5 linked regions of the Ovis aries genome follow. The protein of the gene in region 1 purifies or fractionates together with the protein of each later gene. This does not show direct contact. Links are inferred from orthologs where the notes say so. Each region holds a gene or a part of one and is shown in the gene's direction. Other genes may lie near its edges.

Region 1 (3,515 bases):
GGAGGAAAACCAGGCACCTCCAGCTAAGAAAGCTGGTAAGGCCTAGCAGGGAGTTGTGGTTCCAGGAAGAGGATTTGTAGTCTCCCAGTACTAAATGGCTGATTCTTACTGAGACCCGTATTTTTGTTCAGCTGTACCTGCCAAGCAGGCCAGTCTGCTTCAGCATCCTGGAAAGGCTGCAGTCAAAGCATCCGAGAGCAGCAGCAGCAGCAGTGAAGAATCCAGTGATGATGAGGAGGAAGAAGACAGAAAGAAAAAGCCTGTTGAGGTGCAGCTTTGGGGAGGAAAGGAATTGCTTAAGGGATTGGAAAGAAGAAGTCCAAAATCTTGGCTTTTAGCCTGGTGGTGCTGGTTATAAACAACAGATTATTACGAGGTCTTTCAGAGAGGTTGTAAAAATATGAGGTTTGGAAAGGATTTTGTAGGGTGAAAGTTGAACCCTGAATGTAGAGGAAATTCAGTCCATTCTGCAACCCTGACAGTATTGGGTTTCTCTGGGACACCGTCAAGGACTCCAAGAGTAAAAGATGTTTTGTGGACAGGTGCAGGGAGCTCTAAACAGGGAATGTCAGGAACAAGGCCTAAAAAAGGGAGCTTGCTTTTGTACCTTAAGATGTCCTTTGGGTGCCCTAAAACTCTTGCTGATTCCCCTGGCTTTTCTTACAGAAGGGAGTTAAGCCACAGGCCAAGACAGTCAAAGCTCCTCCTAAGAAGGCCGAGAGCTCTGATTCCGATTCTGACTCAAGCTCAGAGGACGAGGCACCAAAGAACCAGAAGCCAAAGACAACACCTGTGGCAGTGAAAACTCAGGCTAAAGCCCCAGCCAAACCAGGTATCGTTTTTGTTCCCAAGAGGCTAGGCTGGGGACCAGGTTGCTCTGGGGACTGGTGTGAAAATTCCTCATTCACCACAGGGATGAAATGGCACTGGTTATTGAACTAGGGGTATGGACTGGTGTCTTTTTTTTTTAAATTAGGGACTAGTAACTACAGAAATGGCTTGCCTGGTGGCCCAGACAGTAAAGAATCTGCCTGCAATACAGGAGACCCAGGTTCGATACCTGGGTCATGAAGATCCACTGGAGAAGAGAATAACTACTGCCTCCAGTAGACTTGCCTGAAGAATCCCCATGGATAGAGGAGCCTGGCGGGCTATAGTCCATGGGGTTGCAAAGAGTCAGACAAGTCTGAGCAGCAACTAACACTTTCACTTTTTTCAACTATAGAAATAGTGGGCAATGAGGGAAAACATGTTTAAAAGACTTCAGAGGGCATATTCAAATGATTTGCGTCATAAAATTTTTTGGAAGACAGGTTTATTTCTGAACTTGGGCAGGAAATTTATCCTTTGATAATACCACGGTAAACCACAGCCTTCTCCTTTATGCTTGCTGCAAAGGCAAGAGAATTGACAGTGAAGAGCCTAAGCTACTCTATCTTGTAAAAGAGCTCCATTTTGCAAAGGTACCGGGCAAACAGACTTAGACTTTGGATATTGCCTAAACTTGCCCCACTGTGCGCGAGCCAGTCAGCCCTTGGATTAGACCTCCTGACTTTAAGTTCAAGAATTTGTGATTTACCTTGGAAGTAATGAGTTACATTTGTGATTTACCTTGGAAGTAATGATTTACCGTGGAAATGGGAACCAATCAGAACCCAACACCTAACCCTTCCACAGAAGGTAACCAATTAGAGGTCTCCCAACCTGGAAACTCCCGTTTTTCGAATTTTTCGCGCGAGAATACCCTATATAAGCAATATAACCCAGAGTTCAGGGCTCCTCTCCTAAGCCACTGCATCGGTAACGGTGGGAGCCCCAGCTCGAGCTTGGTAATAAAAACTCTCTTGCTTTTCCATCAGATATCAGCTCCCTGGTGGTCATTGGGAGATTTTGAGACTTGGGCATAACAACAGACTCCTAAGTACCAAGCTAATAGGAGGAGGCTTTAAGAAATATTTATTTATTTGGCTGCACCATATCTTAGTTGGTGCATGTGGGATCTAGTTCCCTGACCAGGGATCAGACCCCCAGCTCCCTACATTGGGAGCATGGAATCTTAGCCACTGGACCACCAGGGAAGTCCCAGTTCATGTCTGTTTAAAAAATATTTTTCTTTCTTTATTTCCGGGTGTACTAGGTCCTTGCTGTGTATGGGCTTTCTGCAGTTGAGGTGAATGGAGGCTGCTCCCTTGTGGTGGTGTGCAGGCTTCTTACGCTGGTGGCTTCTCTTGTTGCAGAGCACAGGCTGTAGAGTGTTGGGGCTTTAGTTGTGGCTCCCGGGATTAGTTGTCCCAGGGGATATGAGATCTTCCCAGAACAGGGATTGAACCTGTGTCTCCTGCATTGGTAGGTGGGTTTTTGTTTGTTTGTTTGTTTTTTTACCACAGAGCCATGAAGGAAGGCTGGCAGGTGTATTCTTAGCCACTGGACCACCAGGGAAATCCAGCTCATGTCTGTTTTCAACATACCTGTCTTACAGTTTGTTGAAACAATACATATGTATGTCGGAGTGGTTGGCTGTAAAAACTTGAGCCCAGCTATCATCTGAAGGGTATTCACACCCACCTTATGGTATTTCAGACAGCCAGCTAGCTTAGTCTTCTTTCTCTTATGCTTGTTCTTGGGACTTATGTAAGAATTCTTCCTTTCTTAGTACCATCATGAAGTCCCAAAAGTAAGGTGAAATGTACACTCCTTTTGAATTTTATAGTCAAAGTACATCTGTGTTCTAGTTGCTTGCCAGCAAAGATCAATCTTTACTACTCAGGAAGAATTCTTTTTTATCCTGGATTTTGGCCCTTCATTTTCTGTTGTAGCTGAGGGTTTGACTTCAAGAGTGATGGTCATTCCCCTCAGGATCTTCATGAAATTCTGCATCTTGGCGGCAGTGCTGCTGAAGGTGGCGGGTCCGAAAACTGTCTTTATACTCATGTTATTTCTATTTTCTTAGGTACATCACCTCGGCCAGCACCTAAAGTCGCCAATGGCAAAGCAGCTAGTAGCAGCAGCGGCAGCAGCAGCAGCAGTGATGATGACTCAGAGGAGGAAAAGGCAGTAGCCATCTCTAAGAAGGTATAGGCCTTAATTTCTACCAGGGAAGAGGGGACAAGAGGGTGGAAGTCCTCCATTTCCTGGCAGGATTGGTTGGGTCAATATTTTCCTGTGGTAATTGATTTTCTCTGTGTGATGCAGACCATACCTAAAAAGCAAGTTGTGGCTAAGGCCCCAGTGAAAATGGTTGCTGCACCTGCCCAAAAGAGTTCCAGCAGTGAGGACTCCTCCAGTGAGGAGGAGGAAGAGGAGCAGAAGAAAAAGCCCATGAAGAAAAAACCAGGTGACTGGACACGGGGAGTCAAGCTACCACTGACGAGGGCCCAAAGGCAGGAGGACCTCTGCAGTCACCACGTGGACCTTGGCCTGACAGCTGGCCTGTCCCAGAGAAAGGAGAAAGCCAAATGGCATGCCATCGTCCCTGCCCTAGTCTGTTAGGAGTGAGTCACTAATCTGAGCCCATC
Region 2 (3,515 bases), on another chromosome or scaffold:
CCCTCCCCTACCTTAGCTTAGTTGTCCCGGGGTGAGGACCTGTGCCCACCTGCCCCCTCACTCACTCGCCAGTAACCCGTGGGCGGTCATCTGCCCTGTGTTTAGTTCCAGAGCACGAGACGCCAGTAGATACCAATCTCATAGAACTTGACACCAAGTAAGCAGAACCCTGCCTGCAGACATGGGCGGGGTGGGCCTTGGGAGGTGGGCGGGGCTGCCTGGTTATATGCATTTATGCTAATTAACCCCGAGGAGCAGTGGTCTAACCCATCTGCTGAGAGCTGCCTCTGCTCGCCTCTTCAGCAACCCGCTTGCCTGCATGTGACTTGAAGGACCCTCGGTGCCTGTTCCTCTTCCTCCTGCCTTGGTGGGGTCTGTCTTCCTCCCTCGTCCTTGCACGTCCGTCAGTCCGTCAGTCCATTCGTCCATCCACAGCACCTGCTCGGCTGTCACAGGGCTGGTTTGTGGCCCTGGGCTGGGACCCTCCTACTTGGCTGGTGTCCAGCCAGTGGAATCAGGCTGTGGGGTGGGGAAGGTTCTGGGGATCTTCTTGTTTCTGACTCGTGAGGACCAGTATGGATGGCCCTGTGGTCAAAGGCTGTCACCTCACAGGACAGTGGCCAGAGGGGAGGACCTGGGCAAACATGAACCACCTCCAGGTCCAAGCAGCTTTCTCGCTCCAGCTCCAAATCTATGCTTCCTTTGTCCTCTAGGAGATGTGTCGGGTCTTAAGTCAGCCCATGGAGGATACCCCGTGCAGTTGGCTGAATTCTGTGGGGCTGGGGCCTGGAGAGTGGGCCCATGTGGACATGTTTTATTAGTAGAAGGGAGCTCACTGTTCTTAGAGGCAGCCCCTCTGGAACCCCTCTCAGGCACCCTCTTTCTCCACTCATATTTTTTCTGCTCCCCACCCTTATTGGGCTTTGCCTAGCCCCCACCCCAGCCCCCACAGACCCTGTGTATCCAATATCCCTCAGGGTAGAATGTGAGCTGACATTTCCTTGGAGAAAGGGCCTTTGGGGTTTTCTCAGAAAACAGGAATGCTTCCTGAGGGTAGTTCTTGGGTGGGGGCGTGTTCTTGGGGGACTCAGAATATGCTGTGAAACTGCTGTCGGCCTGGCCTCTTTGTGGAAATAAGTTCCTCCTCTGGCCCTAACCCTGCCTCACTCCCCGCCCCCACCCACAATTTGATGTGTGCCTGAACCCCAGCTTCTCAAGAGCTGGGTCGATTTCCAGCCCTTAGCAAACTCAGGCCTCCCTCTGGTATTTCTGCAACTGGCTGGTCCCACTGTCATTGATGGGCATCCAGATGTGCTGGCCTGGCAGGCCTTTCTATCCAAGACCAGTCCCAGAGGCCGGCCTCTGGGTCCTGCTGGGCTGTGCAGGCCCTCCGACCCCTCTGAGTAAACCTCCTCTCCCTGCCCTGCAAACACGCCTGTTTTCCTTGTCTTTCCCACCAGCGATGACGACATTGTGTTTGAGGACTTTGCCCGCCAGAGACTAAAAGGCATGAAGGATGACAAGGAGGAAGAGGAGGATGGTACCGGCTCTCCGCGGCTCAACGACAGATAGACTGGAGCCGCCCTCCCTCCGGGCAGCTCCAGGTCCACTCTCATGCGCTAGGATGCTTGTTCGTCTTCTTCCTGTCCTGACTCCCCCTCCCCTTTGTTCTTCCAGTTTCTACCAGGGGGCCCAGCGGTCTTCCAGGTCACGATGGGAACCCCTGGCCTCAGGATTGGCCCCCATCACCATGCCAACTGGGCCACAGGCAACACCCTCACCCTCTCACCGCATCACTTCTCCATCCCTCCTCTTTTCCTGTTGACCCCTAGACAGGCCAGCACGGCTCTGGCCTTAGAATTTGACTTGGGATGGGGAGCAGAAAGGGGAAGATGGGGCACAAGGGCTTGGCGGGGTGGGGATGGAGGCTCAAGACACGTGAGAGGATGAGGCCACTGTCCCGGGTGATGAATACAGTTCTGGCAGCTAAAACATGACCGCTTTGAAGGCCACCCTCCTCTGGTTGGGAGGGGACAGGCCCATGGATAGATTTTCCACACAGTTTTGCTCGAAGTTCGGACCCACCAAACACCTGTCTTCTTCCTCCCTCGTCCCTGCCCCCGTCCCTCTGTGACTGACAGTGACCTTGGTGAAGGTTTGTAGACCCCAGGAATGGAGCAAAGCAGTTGGGCTGACTTTCTTACCTGCAGTTACCTAGTCTAAGGCAAGTCGTGTGAAGTAGCCCGAGTCTATGTCAGTATCATCAGGATGTAATATCCTAGCTGCCTGTATCTTGCCTGTGTGTCATCCGCAGATATGCACAGAGTGCGACAGAGAGAAGGGAGGGGCCTTCGGAAAGCACCAAGGTCTTGAGGAGGTGTCCTGAAGGGTGACTATGAGATGGGGGTGGGGTGAGAAGATGAGAGTCTGCCCAGCTCCCTTCCTTAAGAGGGATCAGCGATCTGGTGGGAAGCAAGACTGAAGGGCCAGAACGATTGAGGCCACCAATGTCTTCCTGCCCTTGCAGGTCTCCAGGGCTGGACTGGAAGAGAGCCCCTGAGACCACCGTGCCCACAGTCAAAGGGGGTCCTTCCATAGAAGGTAGCAAGGTCCACTGAGTTGTCCTTACCTAAAAGGAAGAGGGACTCTTTTGTTTCCTTGGGGAGCTGATGACCACCCCCCGCCAATACACACACACTCACACACACACACACACACAGTGATTCCCACTGTCATGGGTGTACAGTACCCATGGGCTGATGTTGGTGTGATTAGGACATGGGGCATACTTCCAGGGCAACGGGGCAGGCAGACGATGAGGCAGAAAGTGTTAAAAGTTAACTGTTTTTCTCTGACCTTTGATGCTCACTGCTGTGTGACTTTGGGCAAGTTCCTTTCCGTCTCTGGGCCTCAGTACTTCACCTAGAAAACCAAGGGGTTCGAGCAGATGATCACAAGGGGCCCTCCCAGCTCTGCCTCCAAGAATTTGTGAGCATTAGAGTTTCTGGTCTGGTGGGTGGAGCCAGAACCACTGATTCTGGTCTGTCTGCCACCAGTGAGGATCACTGAACCCGAGGGGTGGTGGGGCAATAGACAGCACCTAGCACCACCACCCTACACCCACTCCAGGCCGAAGAAGGGCCCTTCTAAGGTCCCTAGACTGGGCCAGGGTGAAGGGTTGCCTGATGTCAAGCTGTGGCTGTAGTTAGCATGAGCCGCTTGGCCCTAGGGACCAAGTATTACAGAAGGTATTGTATTTGCTTGTATTTGCTGAGGCGTGGCAGGGGGAGGGGAGGAGAGCTTGCGATAGACACGGTACTACTTCACACCCTCTTTGGATGTCCTGAAGTTTGCCTCATATCCAAGCAGATGTATTGATTAGCAGGGCAAGGGGATCTCTTCCTCCTTTCTGTCTGTGTCCCATACTTGTGAAAAGGCAGATGGCCAAGTTTTATTATATAAGCTGGATCTCAGCTCTTCAGTTCAGCCCCTCCTGGGATGGACTTTGCAACCCT
Region 3 (3,515 bases), on another chromosome or scaffold:
AGCAGCCTTATTTCTGTAAAAATTCATGGTCTATCTTTCTTCAGATGCCAAGGATCCTCCCTTATAAATCCTAACTTTTTCCCTTGAATTCTACTTATAGAATGTAAATCATTGCGGTCATAAATGTCTGGGCATTCATTGGTTTTTCGGCTTCTGGAGGTCTCTCAGGTTCAGAGGAGTAAGCTTGAGGCTAGAGAGAGTTGCCTGAAGCCTGGCTCCTGTAGAGACTTGGTGCCCCTGCTCTGGAGTGAGCCTCCTGCACCGTTCATCACTCCTCTTATAGTCTGTCGGTCTTTTCTCAGTATGTGAGGACTCCAGCTGCAGTGTGGCTCCATTTTGCCACTTTAGATTTGTCCTGCTGTCCCCAGTCTGACAGGTGACAATTGGGCAGTCAAATGTGCTTCACTTGTTCTGTGAGTTACCTTAAGACATAGTGAAAGATACATTCATCTGAACTGGATTATCCAGGAACTGCCTGATACGTTGCTGAATAACAGAACAAGGCAAGGCTCTATATGGGACGTTGTCATAGGAGCAGCTTATATAATGGTTACCTTGTACTTGTTCACTTTTAGAGGGAGAGGGGGCTTTTGGTGAACACAGGCTTCTGGCCATTGTTTTTTTTCTCCCTCTGTTGCCACTCCCACAGATTTGTAACTACTTTCCAGGAGTGGATGACAACTCTAGAATTTGTTGGGGCTTCCCTGGTAATTCAGTGGTTAGGATGCTGAGCTTCCATTGTGGCAAGGGACAGGTTTGATCCCTGGTCAGGGAACTAAGGTCTCATATGCCTCACAGTGTGGCCACAAAAAAACCCAGAATTTTCTTATGTTGAATATACTGTTTGCATTTGATTTTTCTTTTAACTTTTTGACAAAATTTCAGACTACTGAAAAATTGCAAAAATTCCCATGTATCTTTCATGCAGATTTCTTAAATATCCTTTTCTCTCTTTTATTTATATATACACACTTGTTATACATACAGATATGTATGTATGTGCTGATATATATTTCTTTTACTTAAGTGCTTGAAAGAATATCCCTAATTTCCTATATTTCCTAAAAACAAAAGCAATTTCTTACATAACTCAATGCCATGATCAGAAATCAAAAGTTAATATTGATGCATCTACAACCTCTGTTCTCATTTGCCAGTTGTCCTTGTAATGTTCTTTATAGCAAAGGAAAATCGCAGATCATGCGTTACATTCAGTTGTCATATTTTTTTTAATCTGGAGTACTTGTTTAGTCTGTGTGTTTCATGACATAAACATTTTTAAAGCTTGTAGACTACTTATTTTGTAGTATGTCCTTCTCTGGCTGTTTTCTGACCAAGTTTGTACTTGATGTTTGAGTGCCTCACTTTTCCAAAGTATTGAGTTCTGTAATTATGAAAAAGGGAAGTAGTAAAATTCCTAAGTGGAATGGAGAAAGAACCACAGTAGCCAGATCTGTTCTACTGAGAATGCTGACAGTGGAATGGGCGCGATTGTGGCAGCTGGCTTGGAAGAATGCAGCCAGACTCCAGCCTCTCAGTTGAGCGCCCTCCTACAGGTGATGCAGGTGCTCTGTGTTTTACAGTTCCTCTCTGGTTTGTGTTCAAAGCTGTAGCTTGGTGACCAGCAAGAGATGCTGGTTCCTCTGGCTTGTGTGTATCTTGTGTTTCACCCACCCCACTGCCACCGCCACCACGTGGACACGGTCTTTTCCATCTTTTCCATCACGGCTAACCCACGGGGCCGTCTTTGTCTTTGCCTGCGCTGCTGTAACAGTGTCTTGCTGGGGCAGTACTCCTTTTCCTAAGTTACAGTCCTCCCATGGCCACACTTGGGGAATGAAGGCACGGTGGCGAAGATTGAGGCCTGCAGATTTGAATCCTGCCCCTGCTCTTGACTGCTAGCTGTATGATCTTGGGCAAATAGCTCAACTTGGCTGAGTCTTCTACATAGGAATTTTGTGAGAATGAAACATGAAAATAATGGACATAACATCTATTGACTGCTTCCTGTATACTAGTTGCTGTTTAAGTACTTTATAAAGCATAATTGATTGTGATAATGCTTTTTTTTCTAGAGCTGCTTTAATTATTCTTCAGACTCTTTAGCCTATTCATGACAAGAAATAACATGCATAATGCTGACATTTTTGATTAAGGTTTCCGGTTTGCCTATCCAACAGATTGAAAGGTTAGTGGGTAGCAGGGGTTTTCAGTCACTGCTGTGTCAGAGATTGGTCTTTTCCTTTGCTGATCCATCATCTCTTCCTTTAGGAATGGGGTCTGTTGGGAAGTTTTACTGGCTCTGAGCTGATTTCAGAGTCTAGATATTAAGGAAATGGGAGTGGTGACAGGAAACGGGAGCCAGCAGCTGGGAAACAAGTTTGTAACTTGATGTCAGTGAACTGGTCTTCACTCCTAGAAGACAAAATTACATGCGACCCGTTGGAAGAGCAGGTGTCTTAGCAGTTTGTTTCCGTTTTTCCATTTATGAGTGCATGATAGACAGCTGTTAAGAGCTATAACGCTTTCCATTGGGCAGTTAACTAGTAAACATTTTATTTTTAAAGTATGACATAGGCATTCAAAATTTCATGTGTCCTAAATGTAACTACTTAAAAGATTTGACATGTAAGCTGTATGAGTCTGTGAATTATTTCATGTAATCTTAAAAATTCTTATGGGCAGGCTCCTCTTAAACCTCATTTTATTCCCCCATCTCTTCTAGTTTAGACATGCCCTTGTGCAAGATAGTGCAATAGCCATTTGATAGAAACAGTGTTTTAAAGTTTTATTTGTTAACTTCAAAAGGAGTCTTACTTCTCATTACTCTTGTATATTTAAGCCAGTGAAGAAAAAGAAGATAAAACGAGAGGTTAAGATTCTGGAGAACCTTCGTGGTGGAACAAATATCATTAAGCTGATTGACACTGTGAAGGACCCTGTGGTAGGTGCCTAGCTGTTGAAGGGGAGAGGTGGGGGGGTGGTGTGTGTGTGTGTGTATGAGAGACAGAGAACCTGAAAATAATGGGAAACATTGTTATAATATGCTGGGAATGATTGTGTTTGTCTTTACTACTAAAGGATTTGAAAACCAGAAAAAATCATGGTGGCCCAGTGATAAACTACCTACTACCACTTTTATGGAACCTTAAAGTATTTGTAGAAAAAAAATCCCTTTCCCAGTTTTATAGCCTCATTATTTTGATTCAGTCCACAAACGTTTGCTTCAAAGCTCCCTTATGCTCCTGCTTTTCTCCCAACTTAGAAAGCTTATTACTGCCAATTAACATTATTTTACCTCACTTAAGTAAGCCTGACATTTGAAAATCTGGGTTTACAGAAGGAGATAGGAAGTGTGGCCATGTGGACACTTCCTGTGGAGAACTGAACAGATCACAGACCCCTTGAGGTCACTATCTTGCTGTTTCTCATACTGGTCTTTAATTCCGCATCCACCATTAGGGCTCACATGGTATATGCAGATGCAGTTTAAATATTTTTATTAAAATGCTTAA
Region 4 (3,515 bases), on another chromosome or scaffold:
ATGATTGTTGAGGAAGAAAAAGACCAGCTAGAAGTTTAGTAAGTAAATTGGGAAATGCAGAATCAAAAATTGGAAAACTAATTATAATTTGACTACTTGGGGATAATAGGAATTACGCTACACTATTAATGTAAGCTGATTGATCTTTTTCCATGAAAAATGATAAAACCTTAAGATACGGGTGTGGGGTTTTTTTTGCTTTATGTATGTAATAAATCATTCGGTGATTTTTGGACATCAAAGTCTCAACAGTTTCCAGTTTTAAACATTTCTTTAAATAGCAATTGTATTTCTAGGTGTGTATGCCCCCCCAAACTGAAAGGAGTTAGTCAGTTACTTAAGCAGCTATGTTCATAGCATCATGATTCAGCTAAAGGGCAGAAACAATCCAGATACCTATTAACAGATGAAGGGATAAACAAAGTGGTATACAATGGAATATTATTTATCCTTACAAGTTCTAATATATGGTACAACATAGATGAATTTTGAAAACACTGTGCTATGGTGAAATAGACTACTTTCAAGAAGACAAATACAGTGTGATTCCCCTTATGAGGTACTTAGAATAGGCAAATTCATAGAGGGGATAAAAGAGAGGCTGGAGTGGTGAGAATGAGGAGTAATTATTTCATGGGTACAGAGTTTCTGTTTGGGATGATGGACTATTTCATCACAAGTGTTTTTTAAAACCCTTTTAAGTTCTTGTTTTCTTTTTTGTTTTAATCTGCTGCAGCCCTGTTAGATGACTTAGATAAAGAACTAAACAACTACATTATGCGGTGTAGAGAATGGTATGGCTGGCATTTCCCTGAGTTAGGAAAAATTATTTCGGATAATTTGACATACTGCAAGTGTTTACAGAAAGTTGGTGAGTAACTTTATCCTTTAAGGTATTGAAAATAGTGATTTATTTAAATCCTAAAACATGAGTTACTGGTTTTTTTATTCTCTTCCCAGAGTTTTTAGTCTTGTGTGTTTGAGGAGTATATCCATATTAACATCTGCTAGATTTCAGAAACAGAATTTTATTTCAGTGGCCTGTACAGTAGAGGACATCGTTCTCTAATTTGGTTTTCCTTGGGCTTCTTTTTTTAAAAAAAATTTGGAGTATAGGTGGCTTAGTGGTGAAGAATCTGTCTGCCAGTGCAAGAAACACAGGAGACCTGGTTTGAATCCCTGGGCAAGGAAGATACCCTGGAGGAGGAAATGGCAACCCAATCTAGTATTCTTGCCTTGGAAATTCCATGGACAGAGGAGCCTGGCAGGCTATAGTCCATAGGGTCACAAAGGATGTGACTAAGCACACACACTCATTGTGTTACTTTTTTCTGTACAGCACAGTGAATCAGTTGTGTATACATCTCCACTCTTTAGACTTTTTCCATGTAGGTCATTCCAGAGTATTGAGTAGTTTTCTGTCCTATGTAGCAGGTTCTTACTAGTAATCTGTTTTATATATCATAGTGTGTATATGTTGGTCCCAATTTATCTGCTCCCCACTCCCCTGAACTGGCTTCTTACAATGATTGTGTCTCACTGAAGTTGCCGTTAATAAGGACAACTGTGTGACTGGGAAGTATCCTGAAATACATTAATAGTGGTTAATATTAAAAATAGTATTGCTATCTATACTCAATATTAAATTGTATACTATTACTATAATAATAATATAGTAGAGGAACCTGAGGACTGTTCATAAAATGAGTTAATCTCTAAAATCAAGCCCTTACATGAGTAAAGTTACTTGGTCAAACTTGTTTACTTTTTGTTTTGTTCAGGCATCCCTTTCATTGGCTTATCTCTACTTTTTCTTTTGACTGTTTGGTGGATTTTATATAATTTACTGAAGAGTGATTCTCCCTCATCCTTTGCAAACATTCCATAGGCGACAGGAAGAATTATGCCTCAGCTCAACTTTCTGAATTACTGCCAGAGGAGGTTGAAGCTGAAGTGAAAGCGGCAGCAGAGATATCTATGGGAACCGAAGTTTCGGAAGAAGATATTTGCAACATTCTGCACCTTTGCACTCAGGTACACTATGCACATAGGGAAATTCGTGGTGGTGGTACCAGCTCTGTAATTTCTGATGGCAGTGATGATTTTTAAATGTATTGTTCACCTGATAAATATGAGGGTGTTCAGTCACTACCTCATCTGATGCCGTCTTGACTTACAAACTTGCAGGGAGAAAAATATCTTAAAATGAGGTTAAAGGAGTACTGTCTAGTTAATTTCTATTGTTAGCAGTATCTGAATGTGTATAGCCTGTAATTTTTACCCCTCATTTGAAGATAGCTATATGACAATCACAGAGGATGACACAAATGTCTAGTCTTTAGAGTTTTTTTAAACAAATGTTGATTAACATTTTTAAGCAGTGTATTAGGTTTACATATATTGCTTAATTTTTAAATATTAAAATTTCACAACAGCCGTTTTATAGAAAACTGAGGTAAAGGATGGCTAATTTTCCTGGGATTGTACAACTAACTGCTCTGTGATAATTTGGGGCTCTGATGTTTTAGACATGTGAATTTTACACTGCTTTTACTCTTAAACTATTTATGATTTACTCATTTTGTTTCTTAAACTAGGTGATTGAAATCTCTGAATATAGAACCCAGCTTTATGAATATCTGCAAAATCGAATGATGGCCATTGCACCCAATGTTACAGTCATGGTTGGGGAATTAGTTGGAGCACGACTTATTGCTCATGCAGGTGATGATTTTAATATAATTTGTAAACATGGGTATTGAGAGTTGTTTTCTAGGTAGGATCTTATTTTCTTTTAAACTGGAGTTTAAAGATAAATCTGGGTAATAAAAAGAAGTGAATGTTTATGTGCGAGGACTAAGGACCAAGTGTTCAATGATGATTTTTATTTGTATGCCTGATTTCCTTTCGGATAGTGAAGGCATCTTTAGTCACTACCTCTTCTGAGACACTGGTGGTCCATTGTCAGAAGTTTGTTTTGGTTAATTAGAGTAATTGGATGAATACAGGAGGATGAAATCAGGTTTACCTCATTTTACTGTGCTTCACAGATACTTCGTTTTTTAAATTCATAGTTTGTGTCAGCCCTGTGTAGAACAAGTCCATTGACATCATTTTTCCAACACCACAGTCTGTCGCATTTTGGTGATTCCCACAATATTTCTAACTTTTCCATTCTTATATTTGTAATGTTGGTCTTTGGTCAGTGATCTTTGATGTTACTACTACAACTTCCTGAAGGTTCAGATGATGTTTAACATGTTTTTAAAAGTAAAGCATTTATAAATTGAGGTATGTACATTGTTTTTCCAGACAATGCTATTTCATACTAAGTAGATTACCCATAAGAATATAACTTAAAAAAAAAAAAAAGAATATAACTTCAATAAGCACTGGGAAACAAGAATTCGTATACTTAGTTTATTGCAACACTTGCTTTATTGTGGTAATTGGGAATGAAATCCACTATATCTTGATTGTGCAGGTATATACTATTGATTGAGAATTTATTTTAT
Region 5 (4,123 bases), on another chromosome or scaffold:
CAAGTAAATCAGTCATAGCATTAATATGTTCCAATATATTTTGGAAACTTCTATTTAATGTGGCATTTATAATGCTTTAACATTCTCATGTAACAGATTAATTTTGCAATTCCATTTTAAAACATGAGATGGAGTAACTGATCCAATTCCATTTTAAAAACATGAGATGGAGTCTGAACTCACGATTGTAAGTGGATACAGGCAACAAAATGTAAGCACACATGTAAGCAATATTAAGACTATGATATTAAGATTTATGATTAAAATTTAATCTACTAGATTTTAAGAGCTCAGTACTTGAATCTTGTCAAATAACTGAACTGCTTTAGAAAATACCTTGAATTTATAAATGCACGCTAGTTGTGGGAATTTTAAGTTGTAAAAACCCCCTTAAGATGATTTATTTTTAATTTACCAACATATACCATTTTGGGGTAACCAGGTTTTGGACTTGTAACTCAGACATTATTAAAGCAAAAGTATCAATAATTTCAAAACAGTCTCCTGAGTGCCTTAAAGCTGCCCAGAGGACACGACAGCAGCTCCCGTTCACTTGGAACTAACAGGGTACTAAGTTGGGCAGTGCACCAGGGCGAGTGACACTTGGCCCCGCAGAAGGAAGGTTCTGCCGAAGCAGGGAACAATAAACCGAACCGGAAAAAGATGGGAATCATCTTTCTTTCCTACTTCAGCGCCTGAAGCCTTTATTTTTAAAAATAAAACTGAAAAGCACCAAGTCAGCAATGGGAATCACGACTTCAAAGTCCGCGCCAGCGCCTCAGGCCCAGCTTCCGCCCCAGTGATGAGGAAAGCCAGCGCAGAACCCTGGCCCGGCAGAGGGTAGACCCCTATTGCTGGGTGGGGACGCAGCGGGTCCTGGTATCCTGGGGACGTGGGGCGGGGCCTAGGTCCTGAGATGCCTAGCGCTGCGGAGACTGGGCTCCGCAACAGTTTCTGCTCTGAAGTGTGGCCGCGATCAGTGCGGGGGCCTCCAGCCCGGATCCCACCAAGCTCTGCTGCCTGTAATTTACAGGATGAAAACAAGAGTGAATGAACCAGAAAAGCGCGCCTTTCCAAACCGTTTTGCAGCCTGCAGGGTCCGTTCCGGCCGGCGCGTACCAAGCAACCACGCCGCAGCCGAGACCGGAAAAGGCCGACTTGCAGGCGCTCGCGCCCCTGTCCCCGCCTGCGGGCCGTACCACCCCGGGCGACCCCTCCCGAGGAAAGGGATGGTACCGTCCCCGGCCTCCGATTGGCCGACGAGGCGGGGGCGTGGCCTCTGGAGCCCGGTTCCGCGCGCCAGAGCGCGCTCGCCACAGTGCGAGCCGGACTAGGAGCGAGCGCCATGGTGAGGAGTGGTTGTAGGTTGCGGGCGAGGTGGAGGCCGTGGTTTAGGCCTGGGTTTGGGCTGGAGCGTGGGCCGGGACCAGGGCCTTCCCCGGGGACGGGGCTGGGCAAACGTGAGATAAGCGCTTACTCTGGTGTCCCGGCTCCCTTTTCAGGTGCTGCTGCACGTGCTTTTCGAGCACGCGGTCGGCTACGCGCTTCTGGCGCTGAAGGAGGTGGAGGAGATCAGCCTTCTGCTGCCGCAGGTGGGTGGACATGGTGGGCTAGCCAGCGGCTCCGCAGCCCCTCGGGCCGCGCGGGCCCCAGCATGCACCGCGTGCTCCCACGTGGCCGGCCGCGCGTTGGGAGGTGCGCTGGGCCTGACAGTTCCAAAGTAGGTGGTCCTTACTTGCATTCGTGATTAGAATTGCGTTAGAAGCATTAAAAAGTAAGCTTCCCAGATTCCACCCCATACCAATGAAGCGGAACCGGGATTTGGGACCCATGATCTGTCCATTTTTAGTGTTCGGTTGGTCCTAAGAGTGCTTTCAGGTCCAAGAGCTGCTGCTGCTTTACTGCCCCCTAGAGGCAAGAGGGAGGGAAGAATATCACCTTTCTCCCCCCAGGTGGAGGAGTGCGTGCTGAACCTTGGCAAATTCCACAACATCGTTCGTCTTGTGGCCTTTTGTCCCTTTTCCTCGTCCCAAGTTGCCTTGGAAAATGCCAACGCTGTGTCTGAAGGTGAGTTGGCCACTAAATATTGTAGAGAGATGAGCCTAGATGTAGTTCTTGCTACTGTTAACCCTTTAACAACCTAGGATGTACGCTTTATTTCTTGTAGGCACTGTAGTAATGATTTTTAAGTGAAATCAGGCTGGGGTTGAGGGGCTGGTATAATGGTAGATCCAATCAAATGTGGTTCTCTGCTAGTTTGTTCAGTTGATTGCAAAGGGCAATTTTGATGCCAAAAGCCTGGAGGAAGTTTTAGTCCCAGAAGGCAGATCTGGTACTAAATACATCCATTGTGCTCCAGGGTGTGTTTCAAGCTTTCAATAATATATTTTACACTTAGGTTATGGGGCCTGAGTTCTGTTCTCCTATGGTTGATGCTGGCTTTGCAGTGATGACTTGAGTCTGTCAATCCCCTGAGTGAGTGTAATCACTGATGTCTCCATGTCTCTGAGCAAAGCCTCTGAGTAAGAGGAGGGCTCTAGGCACAGGCCATCTTAGCATACTCTGTAAGATCAGTCTCACTGATCAGCAGTTGAGGTGACAAGATCTCTTTTTACGATTTAAACGTCCTTCAGCATGTTAGTGGGAGCTCTGTTCTTTGCCTTGAGGTGTTGTTCATGAGGACCTCCGCCTGCTCTTGGAGACTCACCTGCCACCCAAAAAGAAGAAAGTACTTCTGGGGGTTGGGGACCCCAAGATAGGTGCGGCTATACAAGAGGAGTTAGGGTACAACTGCCAGACTGGAGGTGTCATAGCCGAGATCCTTCGAGGTGAGACAGTTTTGAAATCTGGAGCTGGTGAGGGGGCGGTGGTTCTGGAAACCTAGCGGGTTGCTTTTTAGAAGCCCTCCTGCTTGTCTGGTACCTATGCATGCAGGTACTAGCTCAGAGCCTTTCCTTACTCACAGTCTCACCCTCTTCTAGGAGTTCGTCTGCACTTCCACAACCTGGTGAAAGGTCTGACCGATTTGTCTGCTTGTAAAGCCCAACTGGGGCTGGGACACAGCTATTCTCGTGCCAAAGTTAAGTTTAATGTGAACCGAGTGGACAATATGATTATCCAGTCCATTAGCCTCCTGGACCAGCTGGATAAGGATATCAATACCTTCTCCATGCGTGTCAGGTAAAGTGCAGGGGTGACCTGAGAAACAAGGTCTTGGGTCTGTGGGTTAGCTAATTTTGAATCCTGAAATCAGGACTGGTAGAGCTGGGCCTCCTGATGCTTACCACAGGCTGTGTTCTTACACTGACTGTATAGAAAGAGGAGGCAGAGTAAACCCACCCCATATACACCTCAGCCCAGGCAGGCCCTTTACCTGGTCTGTATTGTGAATGGGGAGACATGGAGGTTTTGGGATCTGATTTGTTCCGATTTCCTCCAGGGATAAAGTAGATGTGGAGAGGGCTGAGTGTAGCTTTGAAGCATGGCAACTGGGCCAGGGAGTGATTGTGTTCTTTGCAGGGAGTGGTATGGGTATCACTTTCCTGAGCTGGTAAAGATCATCAATGACAATGCTACGTACTGCCGCCTTGCTCAGTTCATTGGAAACCGGAAGGAGCTTAATGAAGAAAAGTTGGAGAAGCTGGAGGAGCTGACAATGGATGCAGCCAAGGCTAAGGCTATTTTGGATGCCTCGCGGTCTTCCATGGGTCAGTACAGAGGCTAGCAGTGAAAATAAGGTATGGGGCTCTGAATATTGGGCTTCTGCATTCATACTTGATGTTCTTTAGGCATGGACATATCAGCCATTGACTTGATAAACATCGAGAGCTTCTCCAGTCGTGTGGTGTCTTTGTCAGAGTACCGCCAAAGTCTGCACACTTACCTGCGATCCAAGATGAGCCAAGTAGCGCCCAGCCTGTCTGCCCTAATTGGGGAAGCGGTGCGTCATGGGAAACCAAAAGATGGGGGATTATGGGATTACCATCTATAGTCATCATATTGTTGTTGTATTTCATGACCTATCATATCTTCCCCGGTTGAACTTGATGGGGAGGAGGTTGAAGCACGTTATGCAGTTGGTACATTGGCAATTCCAGCTTCTTTGACTCCTTGACTCTTTCTC

What was found.
Region 2: the proteins of NOLC1 (region 1) and ARRB1 purify together in Homo sapiens (affinity purification with mass spectrometry; 4 studies listed by BioGRID and IntAct, counting the BioPlex papers as one, with this or other methods). This does not show direct contact. The link is inferred for Ovis aries from reciprocal best matches to the Homo sapiens genes NOLC1 and ARRB1.
Region 3: the proteins of NOLC1 (region 1) and CSNK2A2 purify together in Homo sapiens (affinity purification with mass spectrometry; 5 studies listed by BioGRID and IntAct, with this or other methods). This does not show direct contact. The link is inferred for Ovis aries from reciprocal best matches to the Homo sapiens genes NOLC1 and CSNK2A2.
Region 4: the proteins of NOLC1 (region 1) and NOP58 fractionate together in Homo sapiens (co-fractionation; 3 studies listed by BioGRID, with this or other methods). This does not show direct contact. The link is inferred for Ovis aries from reciprocal best matches to the Homo sapiens genes NOLC1 and NOP58.
Region 5: the proteins of NOLC1 (region 1) and NOP56 purify together in Homo sapiens (affinity purification with mass spectrometry; 6 studies listed by BioGRID and IntAct, with this or other methods). This does not show direct contact. The link is inferred for Ovis aries from reciprocal best matches to the Homo sapiens genes NOLC1 and NOP56.

What each region holds. Positions count from the first base shown.
Region 1 is NC_056075.1:22,597,998-22,601,512, forward strand, and holds part of NOLC1 (nucleolar and coiled-body phosphoprotein 1), read left to right. Parts: coding exon 1-35; intron 36-131; coding exon 132-268; intron 269-666; coding exon 667-832; intron 833-2,950; coding exon 2,951-3,072; intron 3,073-3,192; coding exon 3,193-3,334; intron 3,335-3,515. UniProt on the Homo sapiens protein: Nucleolar protein that acts as a regulator of RNA polymerase I by connecting RNA polymerase I with enzymes responsible for ribosomal processing and modification.
Region 2 is NC_056068.1:53,205,174-53,208,688, reverse strand, and holds part of ARRB1 (beta-arrestin-1), read left to right. Parts: intron 1-105; coding exon 106-157; intron 158-1,460; coding exon 1,461-1,572; 3' UTR 1,573-3,515. UniProt on the Homo sapiens protein: Functions in regulating agonist-mediated G-protein coupled receptor (GPCR) signaling by mediating both receptor desensitization and resensitization processes.
Region 3 is NC_056067.1:25,628,532-25,632,046, reverse strand, and holds part of CSNK2A2 (casein kinase II subunit alpha'), read left to right. Parts: intron 1-2,842; coding exon 2,843-2,944; intron 2,945-3,515.
Region 4 is NC_056055.1:204,588,146-204,591,660, forward strand, and holds part of NOP58 (nucleolar protein 58), read left to right. Parts: intron 1-736; coding exon 737-871; intron 872-1,888; coding exon 1,889-2,034; intron 2,035-2,087; exon of another isoform or gene 2,088-2,169; intron 2,170-2,597; coding exon 2,598-2,724; intron 2,725-2,867; exon of another isoform or gene 2,868-2,951; intron 2,952-3,515. UniProt on the Homo sapiens protein: Required for the biogenesis of box C/D snoRNAs such as U3, U8 and U14 snoRNAs. Part of the small subunit (SSU) processome, first precursor of the small eukaryotic ribosomal subunit.
Region 5 is NC_056066.1:52,249,978-52,254,100, reverse strand, and holds the start of NOP56 (nucleolar protein 56), read left to right. Parts: upstream 1-1,315; 5' UTR 1,316-1,345; coding exon 1,346-1,348; intron 1,349-1,502; coding exon 1,503-1,592; intron 1,593-1,952; coding exon 1,953-2,067; intron 2,068-2,441; exon of another isoform or gene 2,442-2,513; intron 2,514-2,666; coding exon 2,667-2,828; intron 2,829-2,981; coding exon 2,982-3,180; intron 3,181-3,267; exon of another isoform or gene 3,268-3,403; intron 3,404-3,519; coding exon 3,520-3,707; intron 3,708-3,788; coding exon 3,789-3,940; intron 3,941-4,123. UniProt on the Homo sapiens protein: Involved in the early to middle stages of 60S ribosomal subunit biogenesis. Required for the biogenesis of box C/D snoRNAs such U3, U8 and U14 snoRNAs. Part of the small subunit (SSU) processome, first precursor of the small eukaryotic ribosomal subunit.